Kluyveromyces lactis: one gene and its partners. The protein of the gene in region 2 purifies or fractionates together with the protein of the main gene of each other region. This does not show direct contact. Links are inferred from orthologs where the notes say so. Each region holds a gene or a part of one and is shown on either strand. Other genes may lie near its edges.

What was found.
Region 1: the proteins of COX1 (region 2) and RCF1 purify together in Saccharomyces cerevisiae (affinity purification with western blotting; 6 studies listed by BioGRID, with this or other methods). This does not show direct contact. The link is inferred for Kluyveromyces lactis from reciprocal best matches to the Saccharomyces cerevisiae genes COX1 and RCF1.
Region 3: the proteins of COX1 (region 2) and RCF2 purify together in Saccharomyces cerevisiae (affinity purification with western blotting; 4 studies listed by BioGRID, with this or other methods). This does not show direct contact. The link is inferred for Kluyveromyces lactis from reciprocal best matches to the Saccharomyces cerevisiae genes COX1 and RCF2.
Region 4: the proteins of COX1 (region 2) and COX7 purify together in Saccharomyces cerevisiae (affinity purification with mass spectrometry; 3 studies listed by BioGRID, with this or other methods). This does not show direct contact. The link is inferred for Kluyveromyces lactis from reciprocal best matches to the Saccharomyces cerevisiae genes COX1 and COX7.
Region 5: the proteins of COX1 (region 2) and COR1 purify together in Saccharomyces cerevisiae (affinity purification with western blotting; 6 studies listed by BioGRID, with this or other methods). This does not show direct contact. The link is inferred for Kluyveromyces lactis from reciprocal best matches to the Saccharomyces cerevisiae genes COX1 and COR1.
Region 6: the proteins of COX1 (region 2) and COX13 purify together in Saccharomyces cerevisiae (affinity purification with mass spectrometry; 3 studies listed by BioGRID, with this or other methods). This does not show direct contact. The link is inferred for Kluyveromyces lactis from reciprocal best matches to the Saccharomyces cerevisiae genes COX1 and COX13.

The regions. Positions count from the first base shown.
Region 1 is NC_006038.1:134,409-136,847, reverse strand, and holds RCF1 (respiratory supercomplex assembly factor RCF1), read left to right. Parts: upstream 1-1,462; coding exon 1,463-1,939; downstream 1,940-2,439. Other genes in the region: GUK1 (guanylate kinase), read left to right, coding at 492-1,070. UniProt on the Saccharomyces cerevisiae protein: Assembly factor that plays a role in the assembly of the respiratory chain supercomplexes (SCs) composed of ubiquinol-cytochrome c oxidoreductase (cytochrome b-c1 complex, complex III, CIII) and cytochrome c oxidase (complex IV, CIV).
Region 2 is NC_006077.1:30,934-34,958, reverse strand, and holds the start of COX1 (cytochrome c oxidase subunit 1), read left to right. Parts: upstream 1-1,225; coding exon 1,226-1,934; intron 1,935-3,474; coding exon 3,475-3,736; exon of another isoform or gene 3,737-3,737; intron 3,738-4,025. Other genes in the region: COX2 (cytochrome c oxidase subunit 2), read left to right, coding at 1-23. UniProt on the Saccharomyces cerevisiae protein: Component of the cytochrome c oxidase, the last enzyme in the mitochondrial electron transport chain which drives oxidative phosphorylation.
Region 3 is NC_006042.1:573,921-576,526, reverse strand, and holds RCF2 (Rcf2p), read left to right. Parts: upstream 1-1,440; coding exon 1,441-2,106; downstream 2,107-2,606. UniProt on the Saccharomyces cerevisiae protein: Assembly factor that plays a role in the assembly of the respiratory chain supercomplexes (SCs) composed of ubiquinol-cytochrome c oxidoreductase (cytochrome b-c1 complex, complex III, CIII) and cytochrome c oxidase (complex IV, CIV).
Region 4 is NC_006038.1:767,930-769,940, forward strand, and holds COX7 (cytochrome c oxidase subunit VII), read left to right. Parts: upstream 1-1,322; coding exon 1,323-1,511; downstream 1,512-2,011. Other genes in the region: ubiquitin-protein ligase PSH1, read left to right, coding at 1-970. UniProt on the Saccharomyces cerevisiae protein: Component of the cytochrome c oxidase, the last enzyme in the mitochondrial electron transport chain which drives oxidative phosphorylation.
Region 5 is NC_006041.1:508,018-510,995, forward strand, and holds COR1 (ubiquinol--cytochrome-c reductase subunit COR1), read left to right. Parts: upstream 1-1,140; coding exon 1,141-2,478; downstream 2,479-2,978. UniProt on the Saccharomyces cerevisiae protein: Component of the ubiquinol-cytochrome c oxidoreductase, a multisubunit transmembrane complex that is part of the mitochondrial electron transport chain which drives oxidative phosphorylation.
Region 6 is NC_006042.1:844,201-846,584, forward strand, and holds COX13 (cytochrome c oxidase subunit VIa), read right to left. Parts: upstream 885-2,384; coding exon 501-884; downstream 1-500. Other genes in the region: IME4 (mRNA (N6-adenosine)-methyltransferase), read right to left, coding at 1,971-2,384. UniProt on the Saccharomyces cerevisiae protein: Component of the cytochrome c oxidase, the last enzyme in the mitochondrial electron transport chain which drives oxidative phosphorylation.

The DNA of each region.
Region 1 (2,439 bases), on a different chromosome or scaffold from region 2:
TATCAATAAACCCACACACCACGCATAAATTTCATATATCACGTGATATCATTGTTGTTGACCAGCCTTGGCACAGGTTATATCAGAGAATATCGCGACACACAATACCTTCTTCTACCGGTACTGTATCCAAAAACACACTGGAACTAGTGGTTACTAGCTACTGGCTCATTGGAGCCATATATCGCTTCCTCATCGGCATTTCAGTCCACATTCCAGTTTCCATACGAGTTCCAATTTCATTTTCATTTTCTGTTTCTAGATTTAACGACGCGATGGGCATCGCCAAGTTAGAACTGAAAAATTATTTCAATGTGACATGTGTGGATCCAAGACATAGATCATTAAAAAACCACCATTTTCAATAAAGCAGTTCGTTGGTGCCACTCTTACGTTTGCGTTTACTCTTTTCGTTTCTGGTATATTTTATTTTTGAATTAGGCGCTCAGCTGGCATCTTCAACGCTTCCCTTTTGCATGTTTATTGGAAGAATGAGTCGTCCTATAGTCATTTCTGGTCCAAGTGGTACCGGTAAGTCCACTCTTTTGAAGAAGTTGTTCGCGGAGTACCCAACGAGTTTCGGGTTCTCTGTATCGTCTACTACTAGACAGCCAAGAAATGGTGAAGTGAACGGTAAGGACTACAATTTCGTTACAGTGGACGAGTTCAAATCGATGATAGATAACAAGAAGTTCATCGAATGGGCACAGTTCTCTGGTAACTACTACGGAACGACTATCGAGTCTGTGAAGGAGGTGACAAACAGCGGCAAGACGTGTATCTTGGACATTGACATGCAAGGTGTGAAATCTGTGAAACAGACCGATTTGAACGCTAGGTTCCTTTTCGTGGCTCCACCTTCTGTTGAAGTGCTGAAGGAAAGGTTGACTGGCAGAGGCACCGAGACGCCAGAATCTCTTGAGAAAAGACTAAATGCAGCCATTGCCGAATTGGAATATGCTGAGACTGGCGCACATGACTTGACCGTTGTCAACGACGATTTGGATGCCGCATACGAGAAATTGAAACAATTCATCTTCGAGGAAGAGAACAAGAGTGGAAATGATTGAGAACTCAGAAATTTCTGAAATATAATATACTACATATATGCATACCGTACCCTTATGTATATTTAAGATTATTAGTTACCATCAAGAGGGAACGAGTACTGGTCAGTGCCCTGTCATTGGTGTCGTGTTAACTGACACCTGTTTACTTTGCCATTACCCTATTGTACAAATTTCCCACACAAGTAATGAGCAAATATCGAAATAAAGGAATAGTAGAAATAAAGTTTCCAACCGATAAAGAGATTCATTAAATAAAGCAAGGCAGCAAACTATCTGGAGTTGATCAAGGCGTCTATAGTTTTCGATACAACTAACTAACAGGCCGAAATCAAGAGAAGACCGTGCTCGTACTTACAGAGATATACACCCAACAACAGCAAAAGAAAACAATCATGTCGTACCTTCCATCAAGTTTCGACTCCGATGCAGATGATTTGGATGAGATGCCATTTCTGGATAAAATGATTTACCATTGTAAGCAACAGCCATTAGTTCCTCTTGGGACTCTAGCTACCACTGGTGCAGTTTTGTTGGCTGTGCTTAATGTGAAGAACGGTAACAAGCGGAAAGCTCAGATCTGGTTCCGTTGGCGTGTAGCCCTTCAAGGGTTTACACTTATCGCCCTTGTAGCAGGTTCTTATATCTACGGTACAAATAAAAACGAAAGAGAATCTCATGAGGAACAACTAAGGAAGAAGGCCAAGATGAGAGAGCAGTTATGGATCCAAGAGTTGGAGAGAAGAGATGAAGAGACTAAGTTGAGGAGACAAAAAGCTGAACTTGCCAGACAAAAAGCTAAAGAAATGGAACAAGAGACCTCCAAACTGCAACAAGAATTGAAAGACCTTGAGGAAAGATTAAAGAAATAGGCTTATTATCTCTTTACATGACTATCTGAATTTTCCAATCAAAGAACAAATTCACTGACGAACAAGAGCCCTGAAGCATCTTTGAGGGCATCGTCATTTTACTATGCTGAATAGCAAACGAAATTAAACCTACTCATCAATATGTTTTATGAAGTGAAACAAACGCTTCTTTTCCTCTCCCAACAATTCTCTGTATATGTATATAGTTTTTTTAATGAACATATTGCTACAATGAGGCATCCAGGGGTACCCACCAATGTCTATTCACTGATCTTCCTATCCAAGGTTTCTCGTTTTCCTCGAACTCATATGTAGAACTAGGTTTCCTAGGATTTCCATGAAGCACACATATTTACTATTGAAAAATCAAGAAAAAGAACATCAAAATCGAAACAATGAAAGAATTAACAGAGCAAGGGTGTCACTTTAAAGCAAGGATTCAGAGCTCTTATCCTACTCGTAGCACGACACTGAACAAAGGTAGAAAGTGTCACTGATAA
Region 2 (4,025 bases):
TAGAATGATTAAATGAACAATAATTATATAATTTATAATTAATAAATTATATATAATAATATTCTTTCCCTGCAAACCCTACAATATTATTAGGGGTTTCCCCACGGTCACCTTCCCGACCCACAAGGAGACGGGGATTCTTACTTATTTTATATCCCGCGGATTCATGTTATGAATCCGCGGAATTATTATATTATATTATATTATATTATATTATATTTTTAAATATAATAATAATTATATATAAATAAGAGTATAAAAATAATTTATTGATCTCATGCTATACTCCCCCCCCTTCCTGTCGCACACGATTGGTGCGCAGATATTGAAGGGGGGGAGTAGGGAGTAATAAATTTAGGATAACCATTATTATAATAATTAATTATTATAATAATATTTTTCCCCCGCGGTCTCTCACCCTACGAATGTAGGGTGATGAGCCGCGGGGTAATTCTTATTTATTATATATTATAATATTAATAATAAACCCCCGCGGACTCCTTTAAAGGAGTCCGCGGGAAAAGTATTATCCGCGCCTCATCCATTATAAAGGATGAGGCGCGGATTAATATACATATATATATTTTAATATAATTATATATTATATTTATTTATAATATTATTATTTATTATATAAAATAATACTAATGAGGGGGGCTTATTTCCCACCATATGGTGGGAAATAAGCCCTACCTAATATATTTATTTATTTTTTATTATTAATATAATTAGAATAATATTTTTCTTTAAGAGGCTTATTATATATTAATAGAATAATTATTCCGACTATTCACATAATATCTATTAAATTAATTAATATAACCCCCGCGGTTCCTCCCCACCCCTTTAAGGGGGGGGTGAAACCGCGGGGAAATGTATATTTTTACCGATCTGCATAGTAAATTGGTAAATTTATATATTTTTATATATATAAATTATATATAAGTAAGATAAAACTTATTTATCCCCCGCGCTCCCTTCCCATCCCATAAAGGGATGGGAAGGAGCGCGGGGGTCAAGAATTTATCTATAATTATATAATTATAATAATAATTATATATAACTAATTAATTAATTAATAATAAAAAACATAATGTATATTACATACTAATCCCGCGGCTCCCCCCCCCCTTCAGGGGGGGAGCCGCGGGTAAATATAACTAATAATAATAGTTTATTATATTATATATTTTAAATATAATATAATAATTATAAAAATAAATTAATGATCGAAAGATGATTATATTCTACAAATGCTAAAGATATTGCTGTTTTATACTTTATCTTTGCTATTTTCTGTGGTATGGCAGGTACTGCCATGTCTTTAATCATTAGATTAGAGTTAGCCGCACCAGGTAATCAAGTTTTAAGCGGAAATCATCAATTATTTAATGTCTTAGTAGTTGGGCATGCGGTCTTAATAATTTTCTTCTTAGTAATGCCGGCATTAATTGGTGGTTTTGGTAACTATATGTTACCTTTATTAATTGGAGCATCAGATATGTCTTTTGCAAGATTAAATAATATTTCATTCTGATGTTTACCACCTGCTTTAGTATGTTTAGTAACTTCTACATTAGTAGAATCTGGTGCAGGTACTGGATGAACTGTATATCCTCCATTATCATCAATTCAAGCACATTCAGGACCTAGTGTTGATTTAGCAATTTTTGCTTTACATTTAACATCTATTTCATCATTATTAGGTGCTATTAATTTCATTGTAACAACATTAAATATGAGAACAAATGGTATGACAATGCATAGATTACCATTATTTGTATGATCTATTTTCATTACAGCATTCTTATTATTATTATCATTACCTGTATTATCAGCAGGTGTTACAATGTTATTATTAGATAGAAACTTCAATACTTCATTCTTCGAAGTAGCAGGTGGTGGTGACCCTGTTTTATACCAACATTTGTTTTCTATGCCATTTTATATAGTAATTTATGATTATAAATATAATATTAATTTATGATTATCTTCATTTAAAAATTTAGAATTTAATCAAGATAAATTTTATTTTGATGAATTTAATTTAAAATATAAAGAATTTAAACCTATAAATTCTGTTCCTGATCAAAAATTTTTAGAATGATTTGTAGGATTTTTTGAAGGTAAAGGTTCATTTATTTTAATAAAAAGAAGTGATATTTCTGTTGTTGTAACTTCTAAAGATATAAAAATTTTAAATTATATTAAAAATAATTTTAATATAGGAGATGTAATTTTACAATCTAAAAAAGATATAACATATAGATGAGTAGTACATAAAAGAAGAGATATTTATTTATTATCATTAATTTTTAATGGTAATTTAGTATTACCTACTAGATATGGTAAATTTATAATTTTTTTAGCTAAATTAAATGAAAAATTATTAAAAAATAATGAACCTATAATTATTTTAAAAAATTATTGTAAATTACCTACTTTAAATGATTATTGATTATCTGGATTTACTGATGCTGAAGGTTGTTTTGATATTTCTTTAAAAGATAATAAAAATACACCTAGATTTTTATATGCATTAAGTCAAAAACATATTGTTAATAAATATGTATTAGAACATATTTTAAATTTATTTATTGATAAATCTAATACTAATTCATTATATAACATTAATAGTGAAAAAAATATTGGTAAAGTTTATTCTAATTCTAAAGATGATAATTGACAATTATGAATTTCAGGATTAAATAATTGTATTTTTATTTTAAATTATTTTAAAGAATATCCTTTATTATCTGATAAATCTAATAGTTTAGATAAATTTATTCATGTAATAAATTATTATAAACAAAATAAACCTTTAAATGAAGAACAAAAATTATATATTAAAAAAATATCTAAACCCTGCGCGACATCACCCGACCCTCATAAAGGGTTGGGTGAGTCGCGCAGGGAATTAATTAATAAATAATCATATTTTATTAGTATAAATAAAAAATATTGAAACAAAGGAAATAGTTTAACTTAAGTTAATTAGAAAAGATATAACAATGTTGATATGAAAAATAAAAAGATTATATCTCTCTTAATATATATATATAAATTAAGAGACTAAATATTTATTATTCTCTTATTCGGACACCATCCAAGGGATTTACCTTTTTTAATACCCCCCCCATATCTTCTTCCCAGCTAAGCTGATAAGAAGATATGGGGAGAAGAGATAAATATACTATTTTCTAGTATTATATATATATTATATAATGCAACATTGGTGGTACGGTCAACAATTTCTCAGATTTAGACCGTCGGTTATAATATATATAATTATATATTCTGATCGCTACAGACTGCTTCACCAATGGGTGATATAATAATATTGCTTAATGTACAGTCGGAATCACTTATTAATAATAAGGTCATATATTATATATGAGATATATATTATAGAGTCTACCCGTGCTATTATCAAAAATAATATTTGGGGAAAAGATAATATATTATTTAGATTTGGATTCTTTGGTCACCCCGAAGTTTATATTTTAATTATTCCTGGATTCGGTATTATTTCACATATCGTATCAACTTATTCTAAAAAACCAGTATTCGGTGAAGTATCAATGGTATATGCTATGGCTTCAATTGGATTATTAGGTTTCTTAGTATGATCACATCATATGTATATTGTAGGATTAGATGCAGATACTAGAGCTTATTTCACATCGGCTACAATGATTATTGCAATTCCTACAGGTATTAAAATTTTCTCATGATTAATAAACTCCTTTAGCAAGAGTATTAAGTTGATCAAAAAATATATAAAATATATATATATTAATAATAATCATAATAATAATAATAATAATAATAATCCCCGCGGTCAGTCACCGGTTATCGGTAACATGACCGCGGGGATAAATAAGATTTATAATAATAATTCTTATAATTCTTATAATAATAATAATAATTATTATAATAAAAAATTAACAATTTATGGTACTAATTTATATTCAAATTTAATAAATAAAGAATATAATAATACTATAATAATTAAATATATAATT
Region 3 (2,606 bases), on a different chromosome or scaffold from region 2:
AAGAACTCGGAACCCTGTCATTGTCTAACGAATAGTGTGTCGAACCAGGGACATGATTAAAGTCGCATACTTTTTAAGTGTTCACATTATTATTTTGTGTCGCGCGTCAGATAATATCCGAAGAGTCGAAGAGTCGAACAAAACGATCCATGAAAAAAATAAAAAAAAATGACGTATCAGTGTTCGCTTATTAACTAGTTGAAAAAAATCTTCAATAGTCTAATATGCGTTCATTTTACAAGTATTTCAGTAGAGACTCAAGCTAGTATACATATCGGTTACGTCAAAACAGAGTGATGTACAAAACTCTGCTGGCCATATTCAAAGCAAAGGCTTTCCACATATTAAGCTCTTTTTCTTAAGAGTAGAAACCTGAAAAATAGTATTTCGGCGATTTCTCAAAATGGTAATCACTCTCCCTTGTATTAAAAGGTCAGGCTAATGAACGCAACACTGCACTAATTGCAATGGATATTATCCGAACGATCCGATGCCTTAGGTCCAAAACTGAAGCTTTTCGAAGATCCTGTAACTCTATTGGATGAATCTGGTAGGTTCCAGCTGTTAGGGTTAGTCGATGCATATTCTCTGCTCTTCCTTTTTTTTTAAACATGTGTGACTGACCAATCATATCACAGGAAACTTTGTGTCAAGGAAATGTGGAGCCACAACCGTGGCAAATTCCGACCGGCTTCTTCTCAGGTAACAACTACTAAAACCACTATCTCCGTATGCACGCGCAAATCCTTCTGAGTAGGACAGTTCGTTCGGCTGGTCCCACTTAGGTATTAGCTTCGCTAAAGTATGGATTGATTTTGAACATCAGTGTAATGAACATAGTCACTTTCTAATTGACGGAGTTATTTTCAGACAAAAACTTGTCTGACCTTTGGAAGAAATTTCAATCGAATGGTTCATTGATACGTTGATAGCAATGAACAGGTTACGCTGAGCCTGTTCATGGGCTGGCAACAAGAACGAGAGATATAGGGTTTGGCTAACTGCCAAAATTACGTAACATCAGTAGCAGTGCCTCATGGACAATCATAAATCCTAAATCGTATACGATATTGCAGGAAAAAGAAATAAAGGAACAAAGAATATTTATCATACGGGAAGGAAAAAAGTAAAAAAGTAAAATCGAACCAAAATTAAAGTATAATTGGAACAAAGGCAGGGAGGGAATTTAAAAGTATCGTATATAAGGAAGAGCATTCTCTCGGTTTATTCGTTTACAGAATCATTTCAAATTATATATATATATATCGTTTGACAGTTAAAATTTGTTAATGCTTATCCTCTTGGCTAAAATAAATATCGGGATATATTAGGATTTTGTTCCAGTATTAATTCGATATTTATCACCTTATTTAAACTAAGGGAATCAAAAGTTAGCTTAAGAGATAAGTAACTGAAAGACGAAAAAACCAGCACAGCAAGATGAAGATTTTAACAAGAGAAGAAATTGATGCTCATCGTCACTACACCCTGATGGGTGGTGTTAAAGGTGCAGCTGCAGGTCTGTTAATTTCTGCAGCTATGTTCAGGTTTTTACCCCATCGTTATCCTAAATTCAATCCAAAGGCTATGACATGGTCTGTCAAGACTGCTTTATTCATCACGCCTCCAACTCTTTTGGCTTCTATTGTCGCTGAAGAATCTTCTAACAGTTTTGATAAGAAAATGTATGGTGACTCTTCGTCCAGTGATATTCTTGCTGAACATAACAGATGGAAGAACCTGCCTATGAGCGAAAAATTGGTCGAAGGTTTGTCCAACAATAAGTACAAGATCATTGTTGGTGCATGGGCTGCTTCCTTGTATGGATCCTGGAAATTGGTTGATAGGGACTTATACATGACCAAAGCCCAAAAGGCTGTGCAGGCAAGAATGTATGCTCAAGGTATAACTGTGATTTTGTTACTAGCCTCAATTGGTTTATCTATGTACGAGGAAAAGCTACATCCAGATCAAAAGAAGGAGGCTAGAGACCGTCGTTGGCAAGCGGCTTTGGAGCATGCTGAGAAGGAAGAAGAGATGGCTGCAACCGCTGGTTACAGAAGTAACGAAGACAGAGTTAAGGCCAAGATTTTTAAATATGATTGAATTTTTGAAGAATTCAATCTAGCTGAGGTGAAATACGATATTGCCTTCACACTACAAGGCGTACAATTCTATTTTCACCCTCATCACATCCTTCTTGTGAATAATTTTGACCCATATACTATTAACTGTTTTTTTTTTACAGCACTGCCTTGTACGAAATGAAATGAAGCAGATCTAACGTACCAAATCTACCTTTCATGGTGAGTTATTTTGTCTCACATTATTCTATGTCATGACAAGTTAATAAAAGAAGATCTATTTTTTATCATTGATTATTGTAACAGTTTCATTGCATCGTGGCGCAACCATCCACGAGATCAAAAATGCGGGCGTGCTGCCTTACCTGTTATGGTTGTTTTTTAATGTCAGCTTATTTCAATTTTTTTTCAATAGAGACGGCTGGTACGGCTTTCATAACATTATACCACTACTTTTTTGAACCAATCAAGAACCTTCATAAATTATCAAAAATGCGGACCAAAATTGCTTGTAATCTTTTC
Region 4 (2,011 bases), on a different chromosome or scaffold from region 2:
CATGACGAGCTGTGGACACAACTATTGTTACGAATGTTTGAATAACTGGTTGAACAACAATCGATCCAACGTATCAGAATTAACGTGTCCGCAATGTCGAAATGTGATTACCAATGAACCATCGTTGAACGTTGCCTTACAACAAATAGTCGATCTGATGCTAGATATAGCAGCGGAGGACCCACAGAAATCGAATTCCTCCGAAGTACGATCACTGCTCACACAAAGAGAATGCTCCGTTGCTGAATACAAGTCTGACCTGTTGGAAGAAACGCTATTCAACAGTGTGTTTAAGAATACTGCCAAAGCCATCATAGACGATGATGACGATGGGATAGCAAGGTGTAGCAATTGCCAATGGGAAGTTGAGGGTCCCGTGTGTCCTAACTGCAATGCTACGATACGGAATTATAATGCGGGTGCACAGAACTTCGACGAAGTTGATGTGGATGAGTACTCTGACGGAGAACTGGAAGAGGTTGAGAGAGATTTGGACAATTATAGAGCCGAGAGTGCACGTACTGTGCACGATTTGGAAGCCGAAGAGGGAGATGAGAGTCTCAGTTCAGAGATGGACCAGGCATGGCCCACAAGACGGCCTAGGAACTTTATGCATGGAGAAGAAGAAGAGGAGGAAGAGGAAGATAGAGGATCGATAGATTCGTTCATAGTGGATGAGGAAGAAGAAGAAGAAGAAGAGGAAGAGGAACAAGAATTGAAAGATGAACGGAAGTTCCGTAGAGCATCTGTTGCCCTCTCAGATGACGATGACAACGAATCTCGCGACAGTGATTTCTACGAACATAATGACGATGGATACGCGAGTGGTGACTCCCTTGACGAAAGTACTAGTAACGACGAACTAGAACCGCACACCATCCGTCTCACTCATAGTCAAGACAACAACAACAACAACAACAACAACTCCGCGCGTAAGAAACGTCTCATAGTCCTAGACTCTGATGAGTAACAATAACAGCGTATATACACCTTGTACAACCTTCTAACGATACTAAAAGTCACGTGTAAACCACCATCACGTGCAACAACCCCGCAGTTACCCTGAATGTCCCCGTATCTTTTCCCAGCCTATGGAGTTTTCGCTGTTTAGAGGGAAGTTGAATTTTCACACCACTCGAAAGCCAGTAGGGGAATATCAGATACTGAGATTAAAAAAAATTTTGGAAGAAATAAACTGTTATGATAGTTAGTTTACACTTGGTGAATACAGTTTTCGATTTGATTCATAGTATTTGTATATTTTGTTTGTTGTTCATCGATTGCCAATACATTTGTTTAATCATAGCCCCAAACATTGAACGATGCCTTCTCCAAGCAAAATTATTGAACTACAAAAGCTGTTCCAACACTCTTCTAAGCCATTGTGGTCTAGACATCCAAGATCGGCTTTCTACTTGTACCCATTCTGGGGTTTGTTTACTGTGGCCCTTGTTGCTCCATTGCTATACATTCCAAATGCTATCATGGGTATTAAGGCTAAGAAGAACTAAGAACTGTTACGTTGTGTATGAATGAATGAATGAAATCCCGAGAGGTTTTTTCGTTAATTATTTTATTATCAAGATACGTCCAAAAATATCCCATATTCACTTTCCCTTATGTTATTACCATGTTAAAAGAGCGAACGAATGAACGAAAATGCACAGCAACAGTATTAGGAAGATATGTTCTTTGCTTCTCTTGTTGAGAAATCTGTTTGTTTCAAATATATATATTTAATTCCAAGACCAGGTCAAGAAATGGAAGAATGGCCTACACCCAGTGTTGAATCCTGACTTCCAGTCAATCTTTATATTAATCAATTTATTATTGGCGCTTTAGCGAAGGAGTATGCGTGGTTTTATTCATGGTCACAATACTCCGAAGTTGTTGCACTATTATTTAGAAAGAATAAGTTAAAAATAAAATACTATAATATATTTTTAAGTAAGACTTTCCGGACAGTACGTTATATCACCCTGATCTGAGTGTTTTCGGCGTATTTGATGGT
Region 5 (2,978 bases), on a different chromosome or scaffold from region 2:
ATGAAATGATGATTTTATTTCCGAAGAGTAAATCCGAATGGATATTCGTTGCGGTGTTTTCAAGGCGAGAATCGAACACTTACACTGTACGCACAAACCACCAGCAAGCAAGCAAGTAATCAAAAAAAAAAAAAGTACTCATTTGGACTTTGGTACTTACCCGAATCTTTCTATTGTGCGGGTAAGTGTAATTTTATTCACGTGAGTCGAATTTCAATCTCGGTATTTGATCATCTTTGACGAACCAATGGAAATCCAGTTCGGGCATCGTATTTCACGGTTCATTTTTCATTCAAAGTTTACCGCTTACCATAGGAAATCGAGCATTTCCACTGTTTATTATGGGAAAAGAAATGCTGGTACCGATACTTCCGTAACTGCGAGATGAGCGAGAAAGAGGGATATGCAATCCCAAAAATGTCGATTTGATTGGAAATGTTCGAGCAGATGGAATTAGCAGTTTTGGGGCTAAATTCTCGTCCCGAAAAGTACTCGCTACTATGTAAATTTTTGTTTTTCGGACCAGTTTCTCGGCCAGAAACGATTTTAATAATTGTTCAAAGGGGGTCCCCTATTAATTATGTGGACAGGTCGTTGTCCAATGAAAGAAAATCTCTATGCTACAGAGAAGACAAAGAAGAAGAGGTAAAAAAAAAAAATTATGGAAATATCGAAAAACTAGACAGCGCTCTCAGTATCAACATTTTTCACTTTTTTCATATAGTGTAACCTTCCAAAATTAAAAAAAAATTAAAAGTAGTTAGATAAATCATTGATATTTGTTTAATGAAAGTACACTAACTTTATTTAGACCTGTTTATAGTTTTCTACTCTTGTATATTGCTTCAGTCAAGTGTGCACAATTTTAAGGAAATTGAGAATTCAGTTAGGCTAAAAACTATCCAAACTTTGCTTTATATTTTTTTCAGTGAAATACCACTATACTGTTTTTTGAATCGATAGTATACCAACAGAAAGGTTTCCAAGGAAAAAAGTAAACGAGAATTATAACTTCGAAGGTATTACATTTGGGAGCTCATTGACTTGTTTTTGATCCCGTATTCTATTTATTTTGCACGTACAAATTCAACACACTATATTGATTAAACGGATTATAACCAATTATTTGCCATAAGAAAGATGTTGAGAACCGCTACTAGATCTTCAATCTTGAAGAGAACCATTGCCACTCAAATTACCCCAAAAGCCATCGTCACCGAACTATCTAACGGTGTTGTTGTTGCTACTGAACCAAACAGCAACTCTGCCACTGCTGCGGTCGGTTTGGTGTTCGGTTCCGGTACTACTGCCGAAAACCCATACAACAACGGTGTTTCCAACTTGTTGGCTAACTCCTTTGTCAACTCTTCTATCAAGGATGCTCAAAAATTGGGATTCTCCTTAGAAACCAAGGTTGGCAGAGACCACCAATCTTACATTGTTAACTCTCAACCAGGTCAATATGCTAAGGCTCTAGAATTCTTGCAATCCAAGCTTTTCGCTCCAATTGAGGACTCCGTCTTCGAAAGTTCCAAGAGAGCTACTGTAGACACTGTTGCCAAGTTCGAAGAAACTGAACACGAACAACGTGTTTTCGAACACTTGCACGCCACTGCTTTCCAAAACACTCCATTGTCTTTGCCAGTCAGAGGTACTGTCGAAACTCTAGAAGGTTTGGAAAACATCGACTTGTCCAACTTCGTTCAAAACCAATTCAAGGCAAACAACTCTGTTATTGTTGGTACCGGTAACGTTAACCACGATGAATTGGTCAAGGCTGTTGAAACTAAGCTTTCTTTGCTATCTGGTGACAAACCAGTGCCAAAGAAGAAGTCCACTTTCTTGGGTTCTGAAGTCAGACTAAGAGATGATACTCTACCAAAGGCTTGGGTATCTATCGCTGCTGAAGGTGAACCTATCAATTCTCCACAATACTATGTTGCTCAAGTCGCTGCTGAAGTCTTCGGTACTTTCGTTGCTGCTGAACCAGCTTCCAACCTACAAGGTGTTAAGTTGATCGACGAAGTTAACGAATACCACTTGTGTGACTCTTTCGAACACTTCTCTGTCTCTTATAAGGACTCCGGTTTGTGGGGTTTCAGAACCACCATCACCGACCCACACAACATCGATGAAACTGTCCATTTCACTTTGAAGCAATGGAACAGATTGTCCATCTCTGTCACCGAAACTGAAGTCGCTCGTGCTAAGTCTTTGTTAAAGTTGAAGTTGGCTTCTCAAGTTTCTACCAACGCTGCTGCTGCTAACTTGTTGGGTGCTCAAACCTTGGTTTTGGGTGCTAAGCCAGCCTTGGCTGAAGTCTTCACTAAGATTGACAAAATTACCTCCAAGGATATTAAGGCTTGGGCTTCCGAAAGATTATGGGATCAAGATATCGCTGTTGCCGGTACTGGTAAGATTGAAGACTTGTTGGACTACGTCAGAATGAGAAACGACATGAGTATGATGAGATGGTAATCAAACTAAAAGCCGAGTCTTAAGATATTTTAACAATTCTTTTTATATTATATTCTCATTTCACGACGGTCATTCTAAAAACAATTCTCTCTTTTCTACTCGACTGAGTAGAATTACTCCCTGTAACATTTACTTTTGAGTTGTTATAACCATATCACTCGATGAGTAATAAGTTACAGTTTAATTTCATGTGTGTATATTCCCCCAAAAAAAGAAATTTGTCACGATCGATTTATATCAATATTTTACTGTTTTGGACTAAAGTCTAGGGTGTTTACTGGCGCATTCGATTTTTCGCTCTGTCACAGCTCCTCAAGATCAATACATTTAATGAACATAATGTATTTTTTAATTCCAAATGATATTTGAAAATTTAGGCTAAATCGAAATAAATCAAAATCTCGCTCATTATTCGTCGAAACAAAAATATGAGTTCAATGTCCTTATTTATGATACTGTCATTTACTGGTGAGCAATTGAATACATTTTAACCATCAAGA
Region 6 (2,384 bases), on a different chromosome or scaffold from region 2:
AAAGTTAAAGTTTTTGGAACGTAAAGTCAGTTTGTATTCATCATTCGTGAAAAAAAAGTAAGTATTGAGTTACTAAAGACGTTTGCCATAACGCTGAGCATATCGAAGTTGATGTACTGCTTGTCACAGATTCAGTACAATAGATATTGATAATGAAGAAACTTATATCTACTTATGATCATTGACACAGTGTGACGTGTTTTATTCTATTTTTCTAGGACTGAATTTACAATAAAGATAAAAAGTGTGTTTATTCTTCTTGAGTTAAATAATAATTATTTGTATGGTGGAAACTCCACTATAAAGTTTATCCATATGTTTGTTGTATTTTGAAGTATAATGCCAGATTAAACGGATGTTTGAATTCTTTTGAAGATAATTTGAGGATATTTGATAAAAGGTGTTTTAAAAGATAAAAAAACCCACAGGCAGGGGCTATCTTGATATTTCATTATGAATGGCCAAAGCCCAACAAGTTGAGATCATTTATCGAACTGTGTTTAATCGTGAGAGACGTGTCTGTTAATGACTGGGTTCCAGAACAAAGTCTTGTCACCGTCACCCCAGAAGAAAGGCTTTTGTCTTAAGTTTTGGAATTCGTAGTCTCTTGGCCATTCTTCATCTGGAACGTGCTTCAAATGTTCACGGTGCTCAGCGTGTTCAGCTTCAACGAAGTAGGTGTTGACAGCGGTCAGAGCAATAGCTGGAGCAGCAACAAATATGGAGATCTTAACCCACAAGTTAGAGGTTTGCTTAGCGTGCTCAGTACTGTGCTTCATGTAGTCCTTGTAAGCTTGGGCAGCAGCCAAATCTGGCTTACCGAAAGCTGGTTCCAAAGCATACTTTGGTAGAGTAGAAGCTCTTCTAATGGCTTGTTTGAACATTTTTGATTATATCTAGGGTCTGGCTTTTCGAAACAGAATATCCTTATGGAATTAATTCACCAAACACAGTTGACGTTAAATAGATATCAAACTCGAAATGAATGTAAAATGAATTGTAAACAGTAAGAAAACTAATCACAAAAATCTCTTTTAAAAAAGTACTTTGACTTACCAATAAAACCTTTTCTATTATGGAAAGAGTAGCTTTAATAACTTGAACTTTCCTAACTATTAAACAATTTTTTTTTTCCTACCTCCAAAATTTTCTAGCATCAACACAATCTCTCTCGCGATATTTCCATATCCCACTCCATATAAAAAACCAAAAATGGCACGACGGAGAAACTAGACAAAGATCATGCTTTTTCGATGTTGTAATTTCGGTATCACATTACACGGTATGAAAATGATTGGTTGCTGGTCACGAGAGACTTAAGTTCTGGTAATGGACACTGAGCATAAAAGGTTCCTATTCCTTGTTTAAATGGTGTTGCTGTCTCGCCGGGACTACAAACCCACAAGTAGCTCATACGATACCGTTCACACTGGCAACAGATTCAGAAGTACTTCCTACTTTATTTTCTGTTTCTGTTGCATCTCTTTATACATATTGACAAACAGTGTAATATTGACGTTCAGGAATTCAAGTCCGGGTAACAATATTTGTTTCACGGCCTGGCGGTAATTGATTTTGGGTTTTTAGCAAACCTGAGCCATCGCATGTCATTCTAGTAGCTGCTGCAGGGACTTGCCGGCTGGGGTTGGTGTAGTGGACAGAAACACCGTTCCTAATATATAGAATGCTAGATTAAGCTGAGAGCTTGTTGCATTGAATTCAAAAAACAAGCGCGTTGGCTAATAGAACGCCCGTAGGATCAGCCATGGTTATGGAAATCAAAAGATTGCCTATTGCTGCTTAAGTGTAGCACGAACTTGTGGGTAATGTAACGTTTGTAATTACAAGGGCGTATGACATAAATTAAAAAAAAGAAGAAAAGTAAGAAGGAACACATACAGACTCCTAATGGATACTGTGTATCGACAAATAAAAGCTAGGACATTTGAAGTAAAGAGAGTATTACATCTTTAGTTTGTCTTTGAATTCTTTGATTTTTCCATGAATCTTTCGTATTTCCTTTTCACATCCACTTCATGGATAGATGAGCCTGTCACTTGATTTCCTATCGTGAACCATCCAGGACGGATGTTATGGTCCCTACCGAAAATTTCAAGTTTACGGGCATGTGTACCGACAAGTCTTTCAATGATTCCATACAATTCGTCCGGCTTTCTACTGGTTTCTCTAGTTGCGCTAATGATCAAGTCAATGTCTATTTTTCTGTTTAGCCATTCCGGATTGCCTTTGACCCCGACGAGTAAATGCTCTTTACTGTGGTTCAACCAATGGCCAGTTCTACCTGTCACAATTGTTCTTCCTAATTGGTTTGTCTTGATCCAAGATATTTCATTTATTACTTCGTAACCCCAATTCTGCAATGA